Oryzias latipes: one gene and its partners. The protein of the gene in region 1 interacts with the protein of each later gene in a pairwise test. Links are inferred from orthologs where the notes say so. Each region holds a gene or a part of one and is shown on either strand. Other genes may lie near its edges.

Region 1 (4,935 bases):
TCTCCGGCGTCCTGGGGCGGGTCAGGTGACTCAGCTTCCGTAACCGACGCTTTCTGAAACAACTCCCCATTTGTGACAAAGAGGTGCCACTTCGCAATGGCTTTATGGTTGCAGGACTGTGTTACTATTGAGCACGAACAATGCCAGCTGTTCTGTTTTCTGTCATACGCAACTATCAATCGGCCCACACGACTATCACATGTGATTTCTGGCTCATAGACAGAGATATGGATTTTGGATGGTGGGCCGCCCACAGTCAGCTGCACAGAAAGGGGCACCTCCTCCGCATCTGCCTTCCTTTTACATTGCAACAGACTGGCCTTCTGCTCTTCCCCAAACCATTTCTGCTCTACCATCGTCTCCAATGCCTCCTCAGATAGAGTGACATGCTGGTTGTCGGCTCGTGGGCAGTACAGTAGAGATCTGACGTGGTGGCATTCGTAGGGCGGCATCCCACTTGTGTGGGCAAAGTCCCCGTTGAGCCGGCACTGGTCCACCTCACACACAGTGACGGGACTCGCCCCCCAGAATTTCTTCACAACATGCACAGGCTTTGCTGAACCACAGAAGGATTCCTGAACAGCAAACACGCCATTTTTTTCATCCACACACTGGCTGGATAGAAATCTTTCCATGGAAACTGTCTCAAAATACTGCTTGTGCTTCCTCTTGCAGTGTGTTTTGAAGTTTTTTTTTTTTAAATTCAAACCGCAGAGATGACAAAGAATTGTCTGCGTCCGACACATTTCCTTTGGGTTTTTTTGCTGCTGGGGGCGCTCTGAGGGATGTGGTGGGGCCGGGGTTTGCTGCCATAGAAGCTGTGCTGGTTGCTGCAATGGGGGCTGAGGTGGGGACAGTGGGGACTGCGATGGGGGCTCTGGGAGCTGCGATGGGGCCAGCGGGGACTGCGATGGGGCCAGCGGGGACTGCGAGGAGGGGTCTGGGAGCTGTGATAGGGACAGTGGGATCTGCGGTGGGGCCAGCGGGAGCTGTGATGGGGCCAGTGGGGGCTGCGATGAGGGCTCTGGGAGTTGTGGTGGGGCCAGTGGGGGCTGCGATGAGGGCTCTGGGAGTTGTGGTGGGGCCAGTGGGGGCTGCGATGAAGGCTCTGGGAGCTGTGGTGGGGCCAGTGGGGGCTGCGATGAGGGCTCTGGGAGTTGTGGTGGGGCCAGTGGGAGCTGCGGTGGGGGCTCTGGTTTGACCTCTAGCAGCCATGGAGGATTTCCTACGTGGTGCGCTCCCAAATGTTTGAAAAACTGTGACCTGTTGACCAATGTTGCCGGACAATGGCAACAGTGAAAGTGTGACGCAGTCCGGCAACCTAAACCACACTTGATGACTGTGAATCCTAAAAGAGGAATGATGGGAAGAACATACTTCATGACTTGTGACTTGTGACTGACAGTTTCCATTCAGAACCCAGACTGTACCTTTGTGTTTGACGGACGAATGGTTTTCCATGTGGTGTCTCACAGCATGCTCTGCGCCCTTGTAGCGGCAGAACGGACAGTGGGAAGAACCGTTTAGGGTTTTCGGCGTTGGTTTTTCATTGCCCAATAAGACTGTAACGTGTCTCTGTAAAGAGAGGAAAAATACAGGTGGAAAAAACCGGAAAGTTTCACCTACATTGATTGGAAGACACAAAAAAGTTGAACATCATCATGATGATTACGAAAGTCCCGAGGAGTAGAGCCGCAATTCTAACTTGTAGTTCCGTGTGAAACCTGAACTACGTGGATATTACGACAGAAAAAAGCAAAAATACAAATAACAGCCTCATCCGTGAGGCGAAAATGTGTCTTATTGTCATGAATGCCCGTTTGTTTGTTGATGCGTACCTCCATCTTGCAGTTCCGTGTTGTGTCGCTGCACATGGACAATCTGACTGCAGCGAAGAAGAAGAAATGGAATCACGTTCTGTGGGCGGAGCCCAACGCGTTTAGCCCCGCCCACGTCGAGGCACACTGCCCACTGCAGCGAGGGGTAGTCGTCTTGGGGAGGCTCTCTTGCGCTTGCGGGAGGGGGGTGTCATGAGGCTACCAGGGTTCGTACCACTCCTCTGCGCTCCACCCTCGCGGAAGCTCCTCGCGCTCTCCAGTCACCGGCACGTGCGCTGCTCCCGCGAGTCTGATGCTGGCATGGCAGAGGAGGCGAAGAAGCTGGCCGCCTACGCCGCCGTGGACAACCACGTCCAGGTACCCTAGTCGCTGTCCTCTGAGCGAACGCGTCCGTTCGAGTCCTGCAGCAGGAGAGTTTGAGACGACGTCACGGCCGTTCAGCTAGTAGTTCCGGCGCGCGGCAAAGTTAGCAAGTACAACATTATCTAAATACTTTAAAGCGACTTAGCGCGGCTTTGCGCGGGCTTGTCCCGCTTTGAACCGCACTATGGTGCTGCAGCTAGGAAACATTTAGGGTGAAAAGGAAAACAGGGGCATGAGCGGTGTAGAAGTTAGTCTAGGCTGGAATTAACGGTGTTGTTAGCCATAAGTGTGGGGGGTCAGAGGTCAGCTCCTCCGACCGGGAACGGGAGCCCCCGTGGGCCAGAAAAGCGACCCTCAGGTGAAAGGTGAACCTAAACACCTATTTTAATTTCAATAAAAACAGTATCAATGTTATTTTTGTTTTGCTTGGACTTTCATGTTAATTATAGATTTTTATATATAGATAAAATGTGTTTTTATGAAAAATTTCACTCTCTGCAGCTTCTTGAAGCGTCTTTTCCAGCCAACATTGCTCCTAAATGTTGCCTTGATGTGTGTCTGAAAGACATTATTACAGTTGTAAATCACTAGCTTTTCTGTTTTTAAAATGTTCATGTGACTTTACCATTTATTGAAACATGAATATCATACTGAAACCTGATGAATGGGATTTAAATTAAAAATCAAACTGGATTGTGATCTTGTGAGCTGAATGGATTCAGACACCACGCCTCCTTGTTTTCTGTAGAACAACCAGGTGGTTGGAGTGGGCAGTGGATCAACCATTGTGTACGCCGTGGACCGACTGGGTGAGCGCCGTTGAACTGTTCATGTCTGTGTCCAGTGGGAGGAGCCTGCTTGCAGCCGCTGGTGATGGTTCCATTCCAGCAGCTGTGACTGCAGTCAAAGAGCAGAACTGACCACTTGGCGTTCATGGGTCCAGTGTTTATGTGGCCTCCGTTTTGTCTCTGTTGCAGCGGAGAGAGTGATGCAGGAAAAACTCAACATTGTGTGTGTTCCCACCTCCTTCCAGGTGAGTGGATGTGCTGTTGTGATCCGCTTTCATCGCTTTTCTTTTTGCTGCGAGTTTATTTTCTCAAGTTCCTCCACTCGGACCATTTGTGTTTGTGAAATCAGGAAACTGGCGCGTTGCACTACGACAGTTAGCACATTCTTTGCATGTGTTGCTACAGACCTCTCAGATCTTTGCTAAATGCAACATTTCAGTGCAAAGTCCTGCTTTGCTTTCTGCTCGATTTTTTTTGGGGGGGAAACTGCAAAACAGAATCAATGTCCACACGAACTCATGGTTTCTCACCCTTCAACGCTGACCTCAGCTGATCATCATCTGCAGATGCTGCACCCTTTGTGGGTTTGGGCAAAGAATTCACTAAAGATAGCTTCTCCTGTAGAAGTGTTTGAATCTGGCTCTTCAAACCTGCTGCTCCTACTCTGACTCCTTTTAATTACCCAGTGACACTTCAGTTTAAGTTTACTTACCTGGTTACTGAAGAAACAAATGTAAAACACTGCAACCTGATGCGTGTCTCACATTAAAGCGCAGCCAGAAATGCAACAAAACAAAACAGTTTGAACCAAACAAATTACAAATTTAATTACAAACTCTGAACATCAAATGTAAAATATAAATAAAAAGAACAAAAAATAGTTTCTTGTTTCTTCATAACTCCACCCCAAAAAAAGATCTATTTCTTCTTATTTAACTTCTACTTCTGTGTTTTCTGGTTGTTTATTTAAATGACTTTTCTACACACAGATTAGACCTGGGCCATGTGGCCAAAAAAATAAAATCTTTTTTTCACTCCATAACACTTTTTTTTTTCTCCGTCCTTTTAATTTCTTTAACAAAAATTACAAATGATGGGATATATTCAACAAAAACTACTTAATTTTAACATCACCTTTAAAAAGTAGGCTCCAGCACAAAGTTCAGCTAAACACAAAAGCTGTAGAAATGTCTGCAGATCCATTTTTGGGAGCTGCAGACAGCTGGAGCGTCTGATGAAGAGAAACGCTTCTCTCTGAACAGAGTTTGTTTCAGGTGTTCAAACAAATGTGTCGTCCTCCCACTTTTGTCAGCTACAACCTTCAAACCAATTTTGCTGTGTGTGGACAAATTGTTACACTACACAGAAAAACTATCGGTGTCAATTAAAAACAAGGAGGAGTGCAGACAGAGAGGACGTCACAACATGGAAACAACTGTTCAAAGTGATTTCTAATCTGTCAGAAAATAAAATGACCTTAAAGAAATCTATAAATAGGATGAACACATCTTTAAAAATAAAACATGGACAGATTCACTAAAGGGCAGCAGATTGAAAGAAAATGTATCTTTTTCCTAATTCTGCGGCTCTGTAATGTTAGATGTTGCTAATAAAGTTTCATTCACGTCTGTTATTGTGTTTAGAAAATACAGTTCATCCTCCCCGTCTTAAAGTCCGCTCTGTGTAAATATTGTGTCACTTTAAACCAGTTTGTGGTCCCAGTCTGGCGACACTCGGAACAGCTCGTTAGCATAGCATGATCGTAGCATGTTAGCATCAGGGTTTAACATCAGCGCCGTCTTCAAACCGACCCTTTTTTTTAAGCTTTGATGCTGCAGTGAGTCCAGCAGCTTTATTCTGCAGGTCTGTCTGGATCCTGCTGAAAGCTGACGCGTGTTCCACTGCCCCATCAGCCGAAACCAAGCGCTACAGAGACGCAAACAGAA
Region 2 (4,874 bases), on another chromosome or scaffold:
GAATAATATCTGTTTCTTAAAACAGACAAAAATCAAACAAAAAAGTCTTAGTATAGTAAATATTATAAAAGATTGATGGTAAATCAAATGGACTTTTCCCACCTGGTATTCTTCCTCCAGTCTGGAGAGCAGCACCGCCTGCTCCACTGTCAGGTATCGGTCAACCATCCCCAGTGAAAGCAAAATAGACTTCAGCTGCGAGATCACAAACTCAAGTCCTGCAAAGAAACAGACACAATTCTTAAACATTTCAAAAACAATAAATACATCATCTCAGCCTGCACAAGTTGAGATCTATAGATGATCACGTTTTCTGGAGTTGAGATGTCTTACCCGTCAGGGACCAGAGGCTGTAAGAATTGAGATGCTGTCGAAAAGTTTCCTTGGTTGCCTGTGGAATTTCAGGACCCAGAATGCTCGATGAAGATCCAATAGTGACATTGTATCTGCCATGCAATAGTACAGAGAAAATGCATAATAATGTATGGTTTACTGAGACAGTTCCTACATCATTTGGAAGTCTACTGCACAAGATGTGAAGATTAATGCTTTTGTTTTATTTTTTTTACCGGTTTTCAATCCAGTGCAGAACCGGATCCCACTCGTTCTTCTGTAGGTCCACTAAACCAGGAGGATCCTCCACTCTGTAACTGAATCAAAGCATAAATAAATCACTGTTTTGTGACAACAAGGTAACTTAATCTGAAAATGAAACTTAAAAAAAAGAGGCAGCCAAATGGCAGATGCTATAAGAGAGCAGCACAGCCTGCTCCACAGTCAGGTATATGGCAACCATCTCCGGTGAAAACAAAACAGACCTTGCTTTCACTTTACTGGCCAGACAATGATGGTCCTATTAAAGAAATTAGGTCAAAGAAAAAGTTTGTTGCATTCATTTTCACAGTAATTCTTTATTTTTAATGCTTTGGAGTCTGGAATCATCTGACAATGGACCGAGAAAAAAAAGTTTCTCCTGCAAATATCTAGTATATGAAATTCATAGAAGTTCCAAAATTCATTTCTTTTATTTTATTTCCATAAACAAAAATGCTAGTTTTCTGCAATAAGCTAAAAACATCTGCTTTCTTTTACAGTGGCATTACAGTTTAGTGCAAAATGCTACATTAGTCAAATAAAGGGAGATAACTAAAAATACACTGCATAATTATTAATAATAATCACAATAACAAAAGGATCAACACAAAAAAACAGTAAAATAAAATTGTTAATTAGCTAAAGAAATTAAGAAAGTGAACGTTGCTAAATCCTAAGCTAATATGCTAAAGTAAATAGAAAATGTAAAAAGATATATAGTGCCAATAAATGTATTACAAATTCACACCTACACAATAAAGTAGCTAAAACATAATAATTGTAAATAAAAGACTGATGCAAATCTGTTTGCTAAAACTACTAAGGTATCCATAAAACAATTAAGCAGACAAGTGTAAAGAAGTTGAATATTTCAGGACCACAATAAAATGTTTAAATTAAATTCTGAATAAGATAATAAGTTTTTTTTAAATATGTGTAAAAAGTTAAAAAGACAAGGGAAATAAATAAATATGTAATATATAAATTTAAAGAACTAAAGGGATTATCTAATACATAGTTGACAGTTAAACAATATATCTCATTATACAAGTATAATTTATAATAATGAAAAAAAAAGTCTAAATTATATTAATAGGTTCGAACATTTTCAAAAAGCTAAAAAGTAATTGCATTTTGACTATTATTTGCAAAAAAAATTGCAAAAAAAGAGCACAGAATGGCAGATAACGTTTTATTTTTTACAAAGAGAAATAGAAAAAAAAAAAAACATATTAGATGTAGTTGCATCTCACAAGTCCAGGATTTGTTTGGGTACTTTTTATCTAAACAAACCTAATTTTGAATTTTCTATTGTTTTGGTATTTCTGTTAGGTGCTTTTATTTTGAAGTCCTTGTTGCTTTTCTCTCTAGATTAAGAACATTTTTTCTCCATTCAAGTAAAATATTGATTTGAAATACAGGTGTTTTATCTTTTAAACTGAGTAACCGGCATAAATGAGCCAAATAATCATCAACTCTGGACAGAAACAGTATAAAAGCTAAATCCATACCAGATCGTGTCAGTCTCCAAAAACTTCAACGCTGAATTGATCATTTGCTCCTTGTTGCGTTGGGTGGGGTTGTCCAGAGCCGTGTTGCACAAAGTGGTCTGCAAGAAAAGTTCAACCGGCATATGAGTACGGCTGGCTACACACTGTGGTGTAAATAGGTCAGAAAAAATATCCCATACAAGGTGCATGGTATAAAACTTGAGTGTCCCCCTCTGAGCATCCCACTCTGTTGCCACGGCGATAGCCAGGGCTTCATTTGGTACTGTGAACAGCTTCCCTCCTGGAGTTTTGAGTTTCCTTCTATCCAGATTTATTTCATACAAACCATCTATGGACAAAATCGTCACAAAATTAGAGAATATAATCAATCTTGGTCTTCCCTGGAACAATAAATAAAATTATTTTAAATTTTAAATAAGACTCACCATCTCCTTGAGATATGCTGACATCTTGATAAAATCTCTTCCTCTCTGTCAAATAGCAAAACATGTAGCACATGATTAGCACACAGCATATTGATAATTAATAATAGTAATGTCAAAATAAACACGTTTACCTGTAGATGCAGTGGAGTATTTTGACAAACACTTGGAGTACTGATGACTGGGACACGACTTGCAAACTGAAATTACATTTCCAAAGGAATTTCGAAGTTGAAAAACACGTCTAAACATATTCATACCTAAATTTGGACGTATACTGTTTACAATAAAAAAGACGATTCACTAGCGATTTCTTAAGCCGGTCTCTCACGCACTAAAGTACCACATTGAACAAACAGATCTTGAGTGTATAATGAACCTGACTCTACAATAAATCTGTTGTTAAACATTAAGGTTTTCATCTAGCTTACAGTAACACATCGGTTCAAAACCACGCGTGTGACCTTCGATGCTACAAAGCTACAAAATGTTTTCATTGCATGCTTTGGGAAATGTAGTTTATTTTTGGCACTGCTAACGCTTACACATCACTTAAAAACTACATCAAAAATGTTCACGAATACTCTTCCGCCTGCTCAGCCAATGAGCGTCGACGATCTTCGAGGGTGAAGTTGTTGGACCAATGAGATAAGCCGTTGCTACTGGTTACAGCGCAGCTTCGAAGTCCACTTTTAGTTCTGGGGAGCTTGATGCTTCGCAAACTGAACTGTGGCGCAATTAAGAGCAATTTGAATGTTTGAGGACCTCCTCGGGACTTTCTTTCTGGCTGGTCGTACAGGTTGACCGAGTCCCGCTGCCGCACGGCCGTTGACCGCGGTTGGAGTTCAGCCTGCGAAGCTGGAGCTATGCCTGTCCCCGCTGGATATCTCAGCGAGTTCCCGGCCGCGGCCTTTGCATCCTCGGCCTCGCTTATCCCGCTGCCGCCGATAAACACTCACCAGCCCGGTGTTGTCACGTCGCTGCTGTACAGCGGCTCCAAGTTCAGAGGCCACCAGAAAAGCAAAGGGAACTCCTACGACGTTGAGGTGGTCTTACAGGTGGGGGGCACCGAGGCGGAAATGTTGCTTTTCGTACTGCGAGCGCGAGGCTTTCGGGTGATGTGTCAAAGTGGCGGCTGGAAGAGTGACAGCTGAAAAAAAAAGGGGGTCCCGGCCTGTCCTGGACCAACTGTGGGTGTAGTGGTGGGAGTAGCAGAGCAACTGCGCCCAAACAACACCGACTAACAACAACCAGCTGCACAATTTTCTACCAGTTTAAATTAACACAAACTATCACAACTAGCTTAAATGTTGCAACATTAGGGGCTGTTGACATTTTTTGAGAAACTGCAGCTTCTGACCGTCAAGTTTTGTTTTTGTTATTTTTTTTAACATAAATTCAGTGGAGATTTGACCTAAAAGTTCTGTTTATTATTTGTTACAGCATGTCACAATGGAGGATTCCTACTTGTGTGGCTATTTGAAAATAAAAGGACTCACAGAGGTCAGTTCTGTTCATATTTAGAGGATTCATGTTGGAATATGTACATGTGGATGAACTGGACTTAGAATTTTAAATGTTTTTGCAAGTTTTTCCTCCACCTTTTGTGTAATTTTTCTTGCAATGACTAAATATTAGTCCAACTGATCGTGAGCCAAATAATTCTACATAGTTTTTTGTTTTGTTCTGCCTCTGAAGTGCAGATATTTTTAATTAAGGGATCGATTTGCTTAGAATATTTTTAAACGTCTTAATTTTCTATTAATGATTTATACATAGCGATAACCTAGCCTTAACGCTGTAAAGTTTACAAAACAAGATTGTTGGTATAATCCAGTTGCACATTTTCGTAGGAATATCCGACCCTGACCACTTTTTTCGCCGGGGAGATCATCAGCAGGAAGAGGCCGTTCCTCACCCGAAAGTGGGATGCAGACGAGGACGTGGATCGTAAGCACTGGGTAAGTAAGACGACACTTTTTCCACGCTCGGCGTCCGCGGCGACGTGGCCGTCTCGCCGTAACTTTATATGCGCTCTCTTTTGGCACCAAGGGCAAGTTCCAGGCTTTCTACCGGTATGCGAAGACTTTTAACTCTGACGAGTTCGACTACGAGGATCTAAAGAACTCGGACTATATTTTTATGAGGTGGAAGGTAAGCCTCGACCTGTTTGCTAGTGAACTCCAAGATGCAGCCGCTCTCATTTAGCTCCTCTCTGTCTGCAGGAGCAGTTCCTAGTTCCTGACCACACCATCAAAGACATCAGCGGCGCCTCCTTTGCAGGATTCTACTACATCTGCTTTCAGAAATCTACGGCAACAATCGAGGGCTACTACTACCACAGGAG
Region 3 (3,615 bases), on another chromosome or scaffold:
TCTGGGCTCCATGAATCGTGCGAGAATTGAGGTGAGCGTGTAAAAAGATTAAACACATTTAACCAACTACATTTAAAATGCACATATACAGTACATACTGTTATTAAAATGACAAAAACAGTTAAAAGAACGTTAGTAAACTGTCATTATTGAGTTATTCATCCTAGAAAACAGATGAATTTCAAAGATGTACAAGTGCTTCAATGGTTGACCTTGTTCTCCCTCTGGATGTGAAAATCGTTTTTTTTAGTATTTCTTAGCAAACCAGCTTTAAATGTCAGCTATTTGTTTAAAAACTAACTTCCTCCTAAACCTTCACATCTTTAAATGAACCTTTACTTTTAATGACCCATTTTTCCTTCCCAGGTGAAAGGATCCAGAGAGGCCATGACCCTACAGGACTGGGCGGCCCAGCGCTGCACCATTTCCTACAGAGCTCCTGAGCTCTTCCACGTAGAGAGCCACTGCATCATAGATGAGCGCACTGATATCTGGGTAACGTTGCAAGTCCACTGTCCTCAAGGACTCGTACCTGCCTTTTTCTGGAGCAGCTTTTTCTGAAACCTCTGGAGAAAATGACTGAAGCCGGCCTCTCCTTTGATTCTGCTTTTCCTTCAGTCGCTCGGCTGTGTGCTGTACTGCATGATGATGTTGGAGGGCCCTTATGATCTGGTGTTTCAGAAGGGCGACAGCGTTGCTCTGGCTGTCCAGAATCCAGTCAGCATCCCGCCATCTTGCAGGTCATTATTGGAGGGTTTTGTCGATCTGTTAACCTCCTTTATTCCTTTCAGAAGTTTAAGAAAAGAAAAAATATTTTGCTGACGTTTTTAGTGCTTGTTAAAAAAAAAATCAAAAAAATAAACAGACTTTGGATTTATTTTGGAAGAAAAACTTGCAAGAAATTTCTTATGATGACTATAAAATGAGGGTTTATGGTCACCAGTGGCATTTAAATGCTGCTGTCACTAAGCAGAGTACACCCAAGCTAAAGTGAATCCCCTAACATGCTGGGTTTTTGTGATTCATGTCACGTTTTTTCCCCTCAGTATAAGCTAAATTGTGAATGGAGGATGTGTTGGCTGATATTCTCTTGACCTGTTCACAGGTATTCATCAGGTCTGCAGGTGCTGCTCAGCTCCATAATGGTCTCAAATCCCCAAGAGCGACCGAACATCAGTTGGGTGCTTGACCAGGTTCAAGACCTGCAAAATCGCAGTCCGAACACCGAAACCAACATGGTCTGATCGGATCCACTGTATGCAGAGACCAAACCTTTACACGCCTCAGTGAACTTCTCTTTTTTTGTTTGTTTGAAGAATTAAATCTAAAAAGCTGGTTTTCCATGGGACGGTTGGCAACAAAAGCCTCATCCTCCACTTTATCTGATCAAAGCTTTCTTTTAGCCTTTATTTTAACTCACTAAATTATTTGAAGAATGTGAAATGCCTTAAATCTATAAATATTTTCCACAGTGCAATTATTTCTGGTGATGTCAGAAAAAAAATGCTTCTTTTTTTGGCAACCTTTATTTTGAAAAATCTGTGTATTTGTTCTTCCTGAGACCTAAATGAGGTGCTGCTCATGTGTCTGATGGCTCCATGTGTTTTGGATCCACCTCACTTTAAAATTTGCAGTGGAGACAGATTTGACCAGCTTTGTTTGAAAGCAAGAGAATCAAATCCAAGCATATTTATGTGGTTGTTTCGTTTCGGTTAATTCCGTGGAGAAAAGTGAAGAAATAATTCAGTGAATGCAAGAAACTGCAACTATTTTTGTCCCCCAGATGGAGCAAGGCTCACTATTATCCTTTTTATTAGTTCTTCTAAGTTGACGTCTACCCTCTAGTGGCAGCAGCTTTAACAACTATTCTTCTAAAAATGTATAAACTTTTGTTTAAAGTAGTATTTTTAGATTTTGATATGAAACGAAAACGTACACATTAAAGCTCTGCTTTGGATTTCGGATTACTTTCACTTCTGGGCTCATGTAATTCAATAATTCAGTTTTATTTATTTAGCCCACCATTACAACACGGTTGTGTCAATGAGCTTTAGTAATTGTACATAACATAAATGAGTTATAAAATACAATAGCTAATTGTTCGTTTACTCCTTTAGGGATTAATTTTAGGAGTTAAATGCTGCTCACTTTGTCTTTTATATTTCAGGAAGCTTCTATGTTCATTCCAGTGACTGTTCATGTTCTGTCTAGAGGAGCACCATGTTTATTCTTTTATTTAAAAAAAAACAAGGCTGTCCTTCGATCACAATTGTTACAAACTGTAACATCTGTTTATTTTAAGTTGGAAATAATTGAGGGAATATATTTTTCTGTCACTTCACTTTGTATTGTGTTTTTAAACAGTCTTTTCCATTCCACTGATTCCTGTGTTTTATTCTTGTTTTCTTTGTAATAATCAGACTTGTGTTCTCTCAGGGTTCTCCCATAATCCTCTGGCTTTCGTTTCTGAACCTAAACTCTACCTTTAAAATGTCTTGACAGTAAAAACCTTTTGGGCATTTAAATTGAATGCTTTTTTTGTGACTGTAGTGCAGTAATTTAGGACTGTTTGACCACCTTTAAAATATTCTGCTCAGTTAGCTTGTAGACATCATATTTGAACTGTATTTTGGGAGTACTATACAATGTTTGAGGATACTATGTGTTATTGCAAAGTTTGGATTTAGCCAGTATAATGAACTGTTGTGTTGTTGTGAACCGCAAATTGAAAAAGGTTTAATGCTGCATCCGAAAGACAAAAAGTTCTATTCGTATTGGTAAAGGTACCAGATATTATTGTGTGCTTTTGATGATGATGAAAAGTCCTTTATTCATATTTTAAAACACAAATAAAGAGAAAATATCTACACACCTGGTGTGAGTGGTTATTTAAATATGATGGTGCTTTTAAAACCTTTTAAGTAAAGCAAATTAAAGCTTTAAACAGTTTGTTGAATATATAAACTAACTACGGTACAAATGATAAAAATCATTGTATTTAAGATTTGAAGGGCTCGTAGATTCACCTGCATTTTCTAAGCAGTAGTATCCAGCTGCCACAAGTCAGTGCTGTTGCTGTAAAGGCCTCTGGGATTAAAATGAAAGCAGTTCCACACAAAAACCTTGACCTTAACATTTCAGCTGTTTGCTCTCACACATCCTTATAACACTATGTTAGCTGAATTACCTGCTTCTTTTTTTATTGTTGCAGCTGATTGTTGTGGATTCTCTTCGATCTACAGCAGGGGTGCCAAACTCATTTCCACCGAGGGCCACATCAGTATAGCAGCTGTCCTCAAAGGGCCGGATATAACTTATACATGTAACTAAATGTAATGAAACATACATGTAACTACTCCTTAATGTTAAACAACTAATTTATTTATTTATTATAACTTTTGAAAGTGACAATTACAGTTGCATAGAAAACATATGTTTGCTTGTTACTCTATCATAAATCCTTTTAAATTTGATTCTGTCAGGTTAGATTATATGGACAGTGTTTAAGTCCTAATGTATAGTTGCCCAATCTGATATTTCAAGGCAGATTCCCCCTATATATATATATATAAATACACACCAATTTTTATTTTTCATTTTAAGAAATCAAAAATT
Region 4 (4,751 bases), on another chromosome or scaffold:
AAAAACATTCCCAGTGTTTTTTTTATTATGATTATGCAGTTTTTAGCAAAAATCAAAAACCCTGTGTTGTTCCTTAAGACATAATTTCTGCAGAGCAACAGAAGCTCATTAGAAATTTGTTTCTGGGTTGTGGATGGGACTGTTAGCGTGAAAGTGACCCTACCATGATTTCCCAGCATTCCTTTGTTTACACGCTTTCCTGCTACCTAACAGCCGCTCACAACCCCAATCTAACATTAGCGTAGCACAAGAAAAAAAAACAACCTGCCGTACAGTTTAGATTTAGATTCCAGCTCAGACAAAGGAAAACAAAGACGGATGTGGATCTATTTGTCTGCGTGCGGAACAGGGAGACTTTGGCCCGCCAATGGCAGTTGCTGCATCGCAAACCGGGTCCTTATCCATTACAATTTAAATAAAAAAGTCCTCGTAAATGCAGTGCTAAGCTTAAATCCTTTTGTCCTCCATGATGAGAAAAATGCTACAAAAACATGTTAAAAACACACATATCTGAGTGAACCATCCAACATAATAAAGTGGGAAAATCCAGAAGAATTGAACAAAAATGTAATCAAATAGTTACACAAATTGATCAAACATTTGGGTGTGAGCTTCTGAAGGATCTTTATGACTTTATAACTGCTGACACTTATTTGACATGCTGAATAATTTTAATGACAGAAAAGGGAACATTTAAAATTTCGTTTTGGTTTTGTGCTCATTTCTATTTTTCATTTAGTTTGTTTATAGGCCTAAATAAAGAAATGGCTCCACAGATCAAACATCAACACCGATGATTCCGTCATTAGAAGCTTTTGGGTTTCTTACTTGCAGGTCCAGAACATCTCCGCCATGTTTGTGCTCACATAAAATTTGTGGGTCTCCTTCAAATCCGTCTTCTAATCCAGAATTGTTGTGATTTCCAATGGACCAGATAGACACCTTGTTGTCCTATAAATCAACGGGTTTCACATTAAACTCAGTGAACATTTAAATCACGACGACAAATGAATCAAAACAATTTTTTAAAGTGTATTTAAATAATTTAAATTAATAAAAAAAATTGAGTTAATTAGCAAGCGATCTTAATAATTTGTGTGGTTTTGCGCTAGTAGTAGTACTACTAGCTAACCTCGTTGTCCCACGAGCCCGTAGCAAAGACTTCTGGTTGTTGCAGTGAAGAATAGGAAACCGGACACCATCTCGTCTTACTGATTTTCTGAGACACATATTTGGCATTTATGCTCTCCATGGAAATTGAAGCCTTTTTGTTAAAATTTGAAGTGTTGTTTTCAGTTTACGGACTACACGAGAAACTACGCGCCTGCTGCTTCATACGTAACTACGGTGGCCCGAGAAGACCAGATCACAGTGTGCTATTCTTCTTTAAATTAATAGATAATCTGTTTCCCCCTAGCGGCCGACTTCTTTATTACCCAACAATTCCAATAAAGCAGAGACAGAGGAATTCCCTCTTTAAACTGACACTGGGCTCAGTACGTATCTAATTGGGTTTGTATTTTATTAAACTGTACGTGTTTTGTTAAAAGGGAGTGTATGTGAAAGGCGGCCCGGTAATAAAATCATTTGGATGTCTGGTGACGTATCCGCTCCGCCGTCTCCGCTCGAGGTTGCGAGCTTCATCGGGAAAACTGTTGGCGCAGGCGCGGCACTGACAGCTGCTGTCTACTTACTCCGCAAAGTCTGCTTAATAATGGCCTGGAAATCTGGAGGAGCCAGTCACGCAGAACTTGTCACCAACCTTCGCAGTGAGTCTTGTAGCGTTTTTAAGGTGGCATCGGCAAGCAATTCACCCGCGCGACGCTGGAAAACTGTTTTCGGGCGCGTGCTTGTTAGCGCAGGTGCGGTAGCTAGCTGGTTGCTTAAACTGTTAACCACTGTTGCCCCTAGTTTCTCCACCCCCTTTTTTTTTTTTTGCCAAACCACGTTACGCCGTGGGACACGCGCGCGCTTCTGTCATTTTAGATCAAAATAAAAGCACTAAACACCCAAATTACATAATATTTGCATTAAATATTTAGGGTGTATTGTGATGTTAGCCCGGCCAGCTAGCTATGTATGTGCGTCATGTAGGAGCATGTAGCTAGCGTTAGCAGCGGCGCTAGCTGTGTGCCCTGCCCACATCCATTGATGTCTGTCTGCACTGGCCACTGCGCTGTCATTTCACTGACGAGAACAGTTTAAACCGTAAAGCTCGACTCTGGAAACCACCCTTCTGTTGCACGAGACAGAAATTCACATTTGCTGTGTCACGATAGCAGCTAGCAACATCGAAAGAGCGACTTAGTGCCAAGTCCAACTCGGAATAAATGGTAATGTCATTTTGACACTTAGCCTTTTTGTTCATAATAAGCCTTTAAGCCAGTACATCAACTTATTTAATGCTAATATGTGAATTTAATACGATATTTGCAGACTTGAGTGTGCGTCAACATTCACTGTCAAGTATTTGCCAGCTCTATTTATACTCTCTGTGCTGTCAGGGGTATCATTGCTCGCTTTTTTGCCCATAGCTGCGTGTTTAGGAGGGCATCAGTCTCTATATCTGCTTATCTCAGTCCAGACATGTTTGCTTCCGACTAGCACACTTCATTTGGATTGAAGCAGACCACATGCAGAAGGCATGCTGATCAGTCTGCCACCTCTGGCTGAACCTTTCAACCCTGCAGGCTTTTGTTAAGGACCTTTTGTGGTTATATTGGCTTTATGCAAATAGGTACAGTTAAAAAAGTGATCATGTGGACTGTATATAATAATGCTCAAGAGTTTTATCATCTTATTTTGCTAATATTTTACATGTGCATTCTTAATATTTAAGTCTTCATTGTTCATTTTTTCTGCTTGGTGACAATAAAGCTTTTGATTGTATTCCAAACATAAGAAATCGAGCTCATGTATCTTCCTTAAAGGGTCATGAAAAATCAACTTTTTTTTAGCTTTTAAGTGTATTATAATGTTCATTCTTCACTGTAAACAACCTCAAAGCAGTATTTTGATCTGTTCTTACATTTCTGAGTATTCCTCTAAAAACGTCTTAGGTTTTCAGAGGAATACTCTGTGTGTGTGTGTGTGGGGGGGTGTGTGTGTGTGTGTGTGTGTGTGTTTGTGTTTGTGTTTGTGTGTTTATTCAGGAATACACACACACACTTTCTGCGTGGTGCCAGTGGTGATTGGTCAAAACACGTTCCTTTACTCTGCACAGTATGCACATCCATCCCTGTAAAGGTTTGGATGTTGTTTGTTTTCCTGGGAGACTCAGACACGCTGCCAAGGCCGGCTCTATGTTGAGGTCATGCAATGGGCGACACCCACACAGAGAGAAAGGCGGAGCCTCAGAGACCAAGTCGTCTTATTTCCGGGTTGGAAAATGAAGTGTGAAAATAACTCGTATTTCATAAAAAGATCATTCTTTAGTGTGCCAAAGGTAATATATTATCATATACATGGATATAGTTCATTGTGAAAGTATTGGAAAAGCATGAAATAGGCCCTTTAATCCACAAACTACAGTGTAAATGCAACCTGTTTAGATAAGTGTGACTGTTCTTTTGAGTGTTAACATTACAACATCTAAATTTTATGTCCATAATTCTGTCCCGCTGCAGTCCATGGTCTGCAAAGCCAATATTGTTTTTGCTATGCCGCTTTCTTACTGTGCCCTGTGTTAACATTTCACACCAAGCCTCTTTCAGCTGTGAGTACATGCACTAATATCGGGTAGCGACAGTCCAGTGTGAACACATGTGGCAATAGGGCGTTCAAGAAGGCCCGTTTAGCGCGTTCTTCAGGTCACATCACATGCCTGGTGTGTAGGTAGCATAAGGAATAAGGTTTATTTGGATACCAACCACTCCATGTTTGTCTGATTTAACTCAATGCGTTCATTCGTGTGTCTTTCTTGTTGCATATTCGTCTGCAGGACTGTGTGGTTCTCTTCTGCCTCACTTTTGACAAAAACTCTTCTGCATCCTCAGAAAATGGCATCATCAAATCCGACAGGGTGTACGAAGCCATGCTGGCCACAGACCGAGCACACTTCTCCAGGTGTAACCCCTACATGGACTCGCCTCAGTCCATAGGTAGGTGCATGGACGCCATAGTTTGTGCACTCTGGCCTGTTTTCTGAGTGATCAACGAGCCCATGTTTGCTTCTAACCAACAGGTTTTCAGGCCACCATCAGCGCCCCACACATGGTATGAAGGTCTCCACCTTCCAGAGGACTCTTTGAGAAAACCTGAACTCATCTGGACTCAATTATGTCTATATATACAATATTTCAATTCAATTCTTTCACATTTTCTTTCAAATTTCTTAAATACAAAACTGGTTTTACATACAGTATTTTAAAGCACACTTAAAAGCCTACTTTTTTTTTTTAAATCTACAGTGCATCTTATAATCTGGAGCATCTCATATATGATTAATTCTGGTTGGGTTTACTGATGTTGAAGCGATTTTTAGAAGTAGACGGTGCTCTGTCAAAATGTTTGGTTGGGTGTTGTTGTAACTACGCTCAAGCAGCTAATGTTTAGACTGTTTTTTTAGGTGTTACTAACAAGGTTGTGACGTCACAGAACGTTTGTTTTAGTGATATCCGTTGTGTTTTCTATGTGTTGCAAACAAGGTAGGTACCAAAACTGCCACTGAACACTTATTGCAGGCCAAACAGTTTTGGTACCTACACCGTCGAAGTCTGCCTGACTAGTTTTTTGACTCTTTTGTCTCGCTT
Region 5 (4,954 bases), on another chromosome or scaffold:
AGTTGACATTACGTGGACAGACAGCTAAAGGCTAACCGCTAGCATTAGCATAGGCCCCGTTTAACCTCGAAAGATTTACAGGAACAACTCAAAATAAAAAATACATTTTGTGTTGATACATTGCGTCAATTAAATGTTTCACCTCGACGTCGATGTCCAGAAAGCCTCCTTCTGCCACCTCGAACATGAGGCCCATCTTGGTGCCGGAGTTCACCCGCTCATAGAAGCACTCTTCGGCATGGGCGTCTATGCTAACGAAGTAGCCGGACGCGGTGGCCGTCAGGACGGCCAGCAGGACGACCAGCTCCGAGGCGGTAAACATGTTTCAGGCAGAGAAAGACGCGTCCGGACTGTCCGGCCCTCTTTTCCGAGGAGAATCCTGCAGGATGGAGGTACGTGGAGGAAGAGAGGCTCCGCAGGAAAGGAGCTGCACCAGCCTCGGCTGCTGTACACCGCTCTGAGACTGCCACGTAAGGGCTTACAGGACAGCAGCTCGAGAGGGACAAACTTAAGAAAAGCGGTCCGTAAAAAAAAAAAAAAAAAGATTTCTAAAGTCGAACCTGGCTTTCTGCGCATTCTTATAAAAAACAATTAATTAAAGTATATCTTCAGAAAATACATGTAAAGATTCAGTAGTAGTTGTCTGAAGTTTTTCCCTCAATAATCCTTGAAAACCATATGGTGTGAGTTATCTTTGAGGCATTTGAAAGTATAAAAAATATTTTTATGTCTTTTAAATTGTACATCTTTTACATCAGTACATCCACGTGTTTGCTTTGTATTTCTCTAATTCTTCTTAACGGTTTCTATAATTTCGTCTTTTTATAATGACTCAAACTGAAGTCTAAAGTCAATTGTGGTGGATAAATATAATTAATTTATCATAAATCCATTATTGAAAATATTTTGATTTATAATGTAGGCTTTGACTCACTTTAGCATGTCTCCAGAAAAAAAAAAATCTTCAGAGTTTATCCAATTTAATGCATGTGCATGTTTTGTAAATGTATTTTTGTGTTCAAAAGTTCAGTGTCGTGCGACTGTTTTTGTGCACATTCTTGGTTTTCACAGTTGTGTCAAGGAAAATGTATTTATTTGTTGGTCAAACTGCAGGAAAAGCTGGACACACAAAGTGGTGTTTCAATAATTATTTTTGAGGATTCAGTATAAAATTTCATCTTTTAAAGAAAGATACAGTAAGGAAACTGGTTTTAAAACTCTGTACATATAAATATATATATATATATATATATATATATATATATATATATATATATATATATATATATATATATATATATATATATTTTACTAAGACACATTGTTCTGGGATTATTTGCTTCAGGAATAATCCACCTATCAACGTTTTTGGATAAATTATCGTATTGCTGGAATCTTTGTCAGTAAAATCTAAGGATTCACTGAATATATGGAGTTTGTGAAATTGCTGCTTTCTTCACAAAAGGATAAAAATAAACTTTCTGAAGGTTAAGAAGCAAGACAATTCAAATATTTTTGGCACAGCTTCCGTCAAATTATAATTTATTGAGTAAAATAAAATAATTTTATTTCAGAAGTGTACCTTATTGTCTTTGCAAGGATAATAATGGTGTCTGATTTAAATCATGGAAAAATGTTTTAACCTCCCAAAAAAGTATTTTTTTAAATAGAATTGTGACATTTGGACGTTCAAAAGTCGTCATAATATTCCAGATGTTTTTTTTAAAAGATCTGGAAAATAATATATGTATATAAGAAAACAAAAACAAGACACAAACTTTAGCATTACATCCTGCAAGTACTCTCGTAGTAAGACTTTGGGGTTAGCTTAATTTATGTCCCGCTTTATGCCGGTTGAGGGGAGCTCTTCCCGTCAAACCGGTTACTTCCGCCAGGGCGAAGCGCGTCGAGAAACGGGAGCTCCAGGTGTCCAGATCCGCGTTCTCTGTTTTGTCGCATGTTTGGTGACGTCCAATAGTTGCCGTGAAGTCTCCGGACCGAGGCCTACGGACATTTCCCCCCGAAGCGGACGGCCATTCACGTTTCTGCGGATGCTTAAGTAGTTTCTAGTGCCCGTTGTGATCGGGTTTCTCTGTTCACCGATGAAGCACTTTATTGATTGATCAAGGCGGGAACGATCGGAAACCCTAGCTAGCTAGTTGAAGCTAGCGCTAGCTGCCAGCGAGGAAGTGAGGAGGGGGAAAAAAATGACATCTCGGAGGTAAGAGAGGCTTGTTTGGGACACAATTTAAGCGCAGGCAGGGACGTTGGAGTGAACCCAGATTCACGGATCTGCTCGGTAGTCGAACCCAACCGGACCGACGGTTCTGGAACAGCCCGAGGGCAGAGGAGCCGCTGTTGTCCGGGCGTTCAGTGAAGTTCCACACCGGCGTCTGGAGCCGTTACTTAGTGGACGAGTCGACAGCATTTCTGCTGGGGTGGAACTTTAGGTTTTTCACAAAAGTTTATGAAAACGATCGAATAATCAGGGAATAACTTTAAACATAGAGTTACTTTAATCCATAACATGTGATTTATGTCAGTGTTTTGGTTTGTTTCTGCACATTCGGCGTTAGTTCACCACTTTAATGGTCATTTTTCCAAATAAAGAAGTTTCAAATTCAGTCATAAATAGATTTCCTGCCAGCTGTTTTCAGCAGAGACTTGAGTCTCTCATGCAGGGAGACTTGTGATCAATGCTCACTTTTTTTGGTTTTTATTTATACCTCTGGGACAAAAGAACAACAACAACCTTTTAGTGCAGAAAAGCTAAATGTGTTTTCTTGTGCTTGTTTTTCAACGTGCAATTTGCGTCTAAGAAGAGGCTCATTTTAACCACAACTCGCTGGGAAAAAGTGACTTGTGAGCATCTTTGGTTGAGTTTCAGCTGATTTGATGAGAAGCAACAGAAAGGAAAGAGGAAAACCTTCCGTCTGCTTCATCTGACACATTCCACAGAACATCCACAAGACGGAAGCGTCTGGCCGCAGAGGCGCCGTCGCAGCCAGGCCTTTGCTCAAGCAAAAAAAAAAAAGTGTTTTTGATCAGCAAACAGGAAGAAAGTTTGGCTGAAACACCAGCGTGAGGTTTAGCGTTGAAGGCACATGATCTATTTAAAGTTTCATTAGTCAAAAAGGCAAAGACGAGGCGGATCGTGTGCAGAGAGGAGGCCAGAAACGCAGACGGGACCAGACGCAGACGCAGACGGAACCAGACGCAGACAGAGACGGGACCAGACGCAGACAGGACCAGACGCAGACGGGACCAGACGCAGGCGGGACCAGACGCAGACGGGACCAGACGCAGACGGGACCAGACGCAGACGGGACCAGACGCAGACGGGACCAGACGCAGACGGGACCAGACGCAGACGGGACCAGACGCAGACGGGACCAGACGCAGATGGGACCAGACGCAGACGCAGACGGGACCAGACGCAGACACCCAGTCAAACTGTAGAAAACATGAAAAATGAATTGGAGAGGATGCAGAAGCCATCCTTCTCATTCAGACAGGGGCTGCAGGATATGAGGAAAACTCGCAAAATGCAATTTTAGTGATATAACTTGTGATAAATGAACAAATATAAAAAAACCAGAAAAACATTTCCATTTCACTGCATAAGTTTAACTTAAATTAGAGTCAAAATACCTTCAATTATTCTCCAAACGACCCTCGTCTAATTAGGAGGGCAACAACCTACATTAAAGCTCCATCTGATTGGTCAAATGCATAAATGGATTGATTTGATTCGTTAAATACTTCAAGCTGCCATAAGATTGTTTTAGCACATAAAATGTTTACTATTTATTGCGTTTTTCACCGACTTTTGCGATATGGAGATCGCACAGCTTGGAATCGCGATATCGGTAAATTTTTCAGACTGTTTGACTGAATTCTTTGGCTCTGAAATGAGGCCTTTTCCTGCAAAATCCTCCTTGAATTTCTCCAAAGAAAAGGATAACCTGGTCTTCAGGTGACTGTCCAGTATGAGCGTGTTCTGCTCACGGCGGAATGACCATTTATTGAGATTGTTTGCTGCTATTGATGGATCAGTTGGTCGGCGTTGTTCTGGTTTCCTCTTTTTCACGTTTGGTTTTTCTGATCATCAGATCATTTTTGTGCAGTTATTTTATCATGAAGTGGTATTTATGCCATCACGTTGCAAACAAAACTTTCTAAGTTGCAAATGAAAATATTAAATATTTGCTTTTAGATTTTTCAAAAAAAATTCTGCCATAAAATTTTTTTTTGGAATTTTAATTTTTTTTCTTTCAATTTTATTTTGCTTTCAAAAAAATATTTATGCGTTAGCGACACAAATGTTTTGCGTTGTGACTCATCTCGCTTTTTTCCTATCTTTGATTTTGCTCTTATACGTTTCAGTTTAGCGTGACAAAGCTGCCATCAAACATTTGCTGATTGGTCCAGATTCTAACCAATCAAATCACCGTATTTGTCTAACATGGCGTCTGCTACCAGCTCTGTTTACCCTCGATTTTGTCTCTCTGATTTAAGAAAATGTCATTTTTAATCATTTTAAAAATAATTCACTTTCTTTTTCCTCTGATTTTGCATTGATTATTTCCTATTTAGTCAGATTTGTGAATTTATGGCTGATTTCATGAAACTGTCAGATAAACGGTAAAGTTTATCTGCGTCGTGGCATAAATATTACTCCATATTTTATAGGCCCCACAAAATAGATCATCAATTGACGGTCATGACGATCTCAGCCTATGCGACACGCAAATAGGCAAAGATGGTGTAAACTGCTAATGGCGTTTACCATAAATGTTTAAACACGTGCTAAAACAGCCTCATTCATCGCAGATTTGAATATTTCTAGAATCAAACGGAGCATTTTACGCGATGGAGCCCTTTATTGTTAGACGCCTGCCTTATATGGTCGCGTTTGCAGAATAATTGATGTTAACTTTCAGTGAAAGGGAAA

Evidence for each region.
Region 2: the proteins of rpia (region 1) and atpaf2 interact in binary tests that used the Homo sapiens proteins (3 or more experiments, as listed by UniProt). The two-hybrid records come from large-scale screens. The link is inferred for Oryzias latipes from reciprocal best matches to the Homo sapiens genes RPIA and ATPAF2.
Region 3: the proteins of rpia (region 1) and stk16 interact in binary tests that used the Homo sapiens proteins (3 or more experiments, as listed by UniProt). The two-hybrid records come from large-scale screens. The link is inferred for Oryzias latipes from reciprocal best matches to the Homo sapiens genes RPIA and STK16.
Region 4: the proteins of rpia (region 1) and pcmt1 interact in binary tests that used the Homo sapiens proteins (3 or more experiments, as listed by UniProt). The two-hybrid records come from large-scale screens. The link is inferred for Oryzias latipes from reciprocal best matches to the Homo sapiens genes RPIA and PCMT1.
Region 5: the proteins of rpia (region 1) and ptpn11 interact in binary tests that used the Homo sapiens proteins (3 or more experiments, as listed by UniProt). The two-hybrid records come from large-scale screens. The link is inferred for Oryzias latipes from reciprocal best matches to the Homo sapiens genes RPIA and PTPN11.

What each region holds. Positions count from the first base shown.
Region 1 is NC_019880.2:22,089,765-22,094,699, reverse strand, and holds the start of rpia (ribose-5-phosphate isomerase), read left to right. Parts: upstream 1-1,981; 5' UTR 1,982-2,030; coding exon 2,031-2,195; intron 2,196-2,949; coding exon 2,950-3,010; intron 3,011-3,178; coding exon 3,179-3,234; intron 3,235-4,935. Other genes in the region: uncharacterized protein LOC101171122, read right to left, coding at 1-1,348, 1,431-1,575, 1,839-1,874. UniProt on the Homo sapiens protein: Catalyzes the reversible conversion of ribose-5-phosphate to ribulose 5-phosphate and participates in the first step of the non-oxidative branch of the pentose phosphate pathway.
Region 2 is NC_019877.2:3,255,984-3,260,857, reverse strand, and holds the start of atpaf2 (ATP synthase mitochondrial F1 complex assembly factor 2), read right to left. Parts: upstream 3,030-4,874; 5' UTR 2,786-3,029; coding exon 2,662-2,785; intron 2,576-2,661; coding exon 2,531-2,575; intron 2,434-2,530; coding exon 2,285-2,433; intron 2,204-2,284; coding exon 2,106-2,203; intron 651-2,105; coding exon 570-650; intron 447-569; coding exon 334-446; intron 219-333; coding exon 103-218; intron 1-102. Other genes in the region: gid4 (glucose-induced degradation protein 4 homolog), read left to right, coding at 3,394-3,585, 3,971-4,030, 4,381-4,488, 4,580-4,681, 4,753-4,874. UniProt on the Homo sapiens protein: Plays a role in the assembly of the F1 component of the mitochondrial ATP synthase (ATPase).
Region 3 is NC_019861.2:14,422,780-14,426,394, forward strand, and holds the end of stk16 (serine/threonine-protein kinase 16), read left to right. Parts: coding exon 1-31; intron 32-366; coding exon 367-495; intron 496-618; coding exon 619-740; intron 741-1,105; coding exon 1,106-1,244; 3' UTR 1,245-2,869; downstream 2,870-3,615. UniProt on the Homo sapiens protein: Membrane-associated protein kinase that phosphorylates on serine and threonine residues. In vitro substrates include DRG1, ENO1 and EIF4EBP1. Also autophosphorylates. May be involved in secretory vesicle trafficking or intracellular signaling.
Region 4 is NC_019882.2:17,708,090-17,712,840, reverse strand, and holds the start of pcmt1 (protein-L-isoaspartate(D-aspartate) O-methyltransferase), read left to right. Parts: upstream 1-1,429; 5' UTR 1,430-1,591; coding exon 1,592-1,769; intron 1,770-3,995; coding exon 3,996-4,100; intron 4,101-4,183; coding exon 4,184-4,215; intron 4,216-4,751. Other genes in the region: nucleoporin Nup43, read right to left, coding at 829-951, 1,133-1,252. UniProt on the Homo sapiens protein: Initiates the repair of damaged proteins by catalyzing methyl esterification of L-isoaspartyl and D-aspartyl residues produced by spontaneous isomerization and racemization of L-aspartyl and L-asparaginyl residues in aging peptides and proteins.
Region 5 is NC_019870.2:1,422,914-1,427,867, reverse strand, and holds the start of ptpn11 (tyrosine-protein phosphatase non-receptor type 11), read left to right. Parts: upstream 1-1,939; 5' UTR 1,940-2,207; coding exon 2,208-2,221; intron 2,222-4,954. Other genes in the region: transmembrane emp24 domain-containing protein 2, read right to left, coding at 143-322. UniProt on the Homo sapiens protein: Acts downstream of various receptor and cytoplasmic protein tyrosine kinases to participate in the signal transduction from the cell surface to the nucleus. Positively regulates MAPK signal transduction pathway. Dephosphorylates GAB1, ARHGAP35 and EGFR.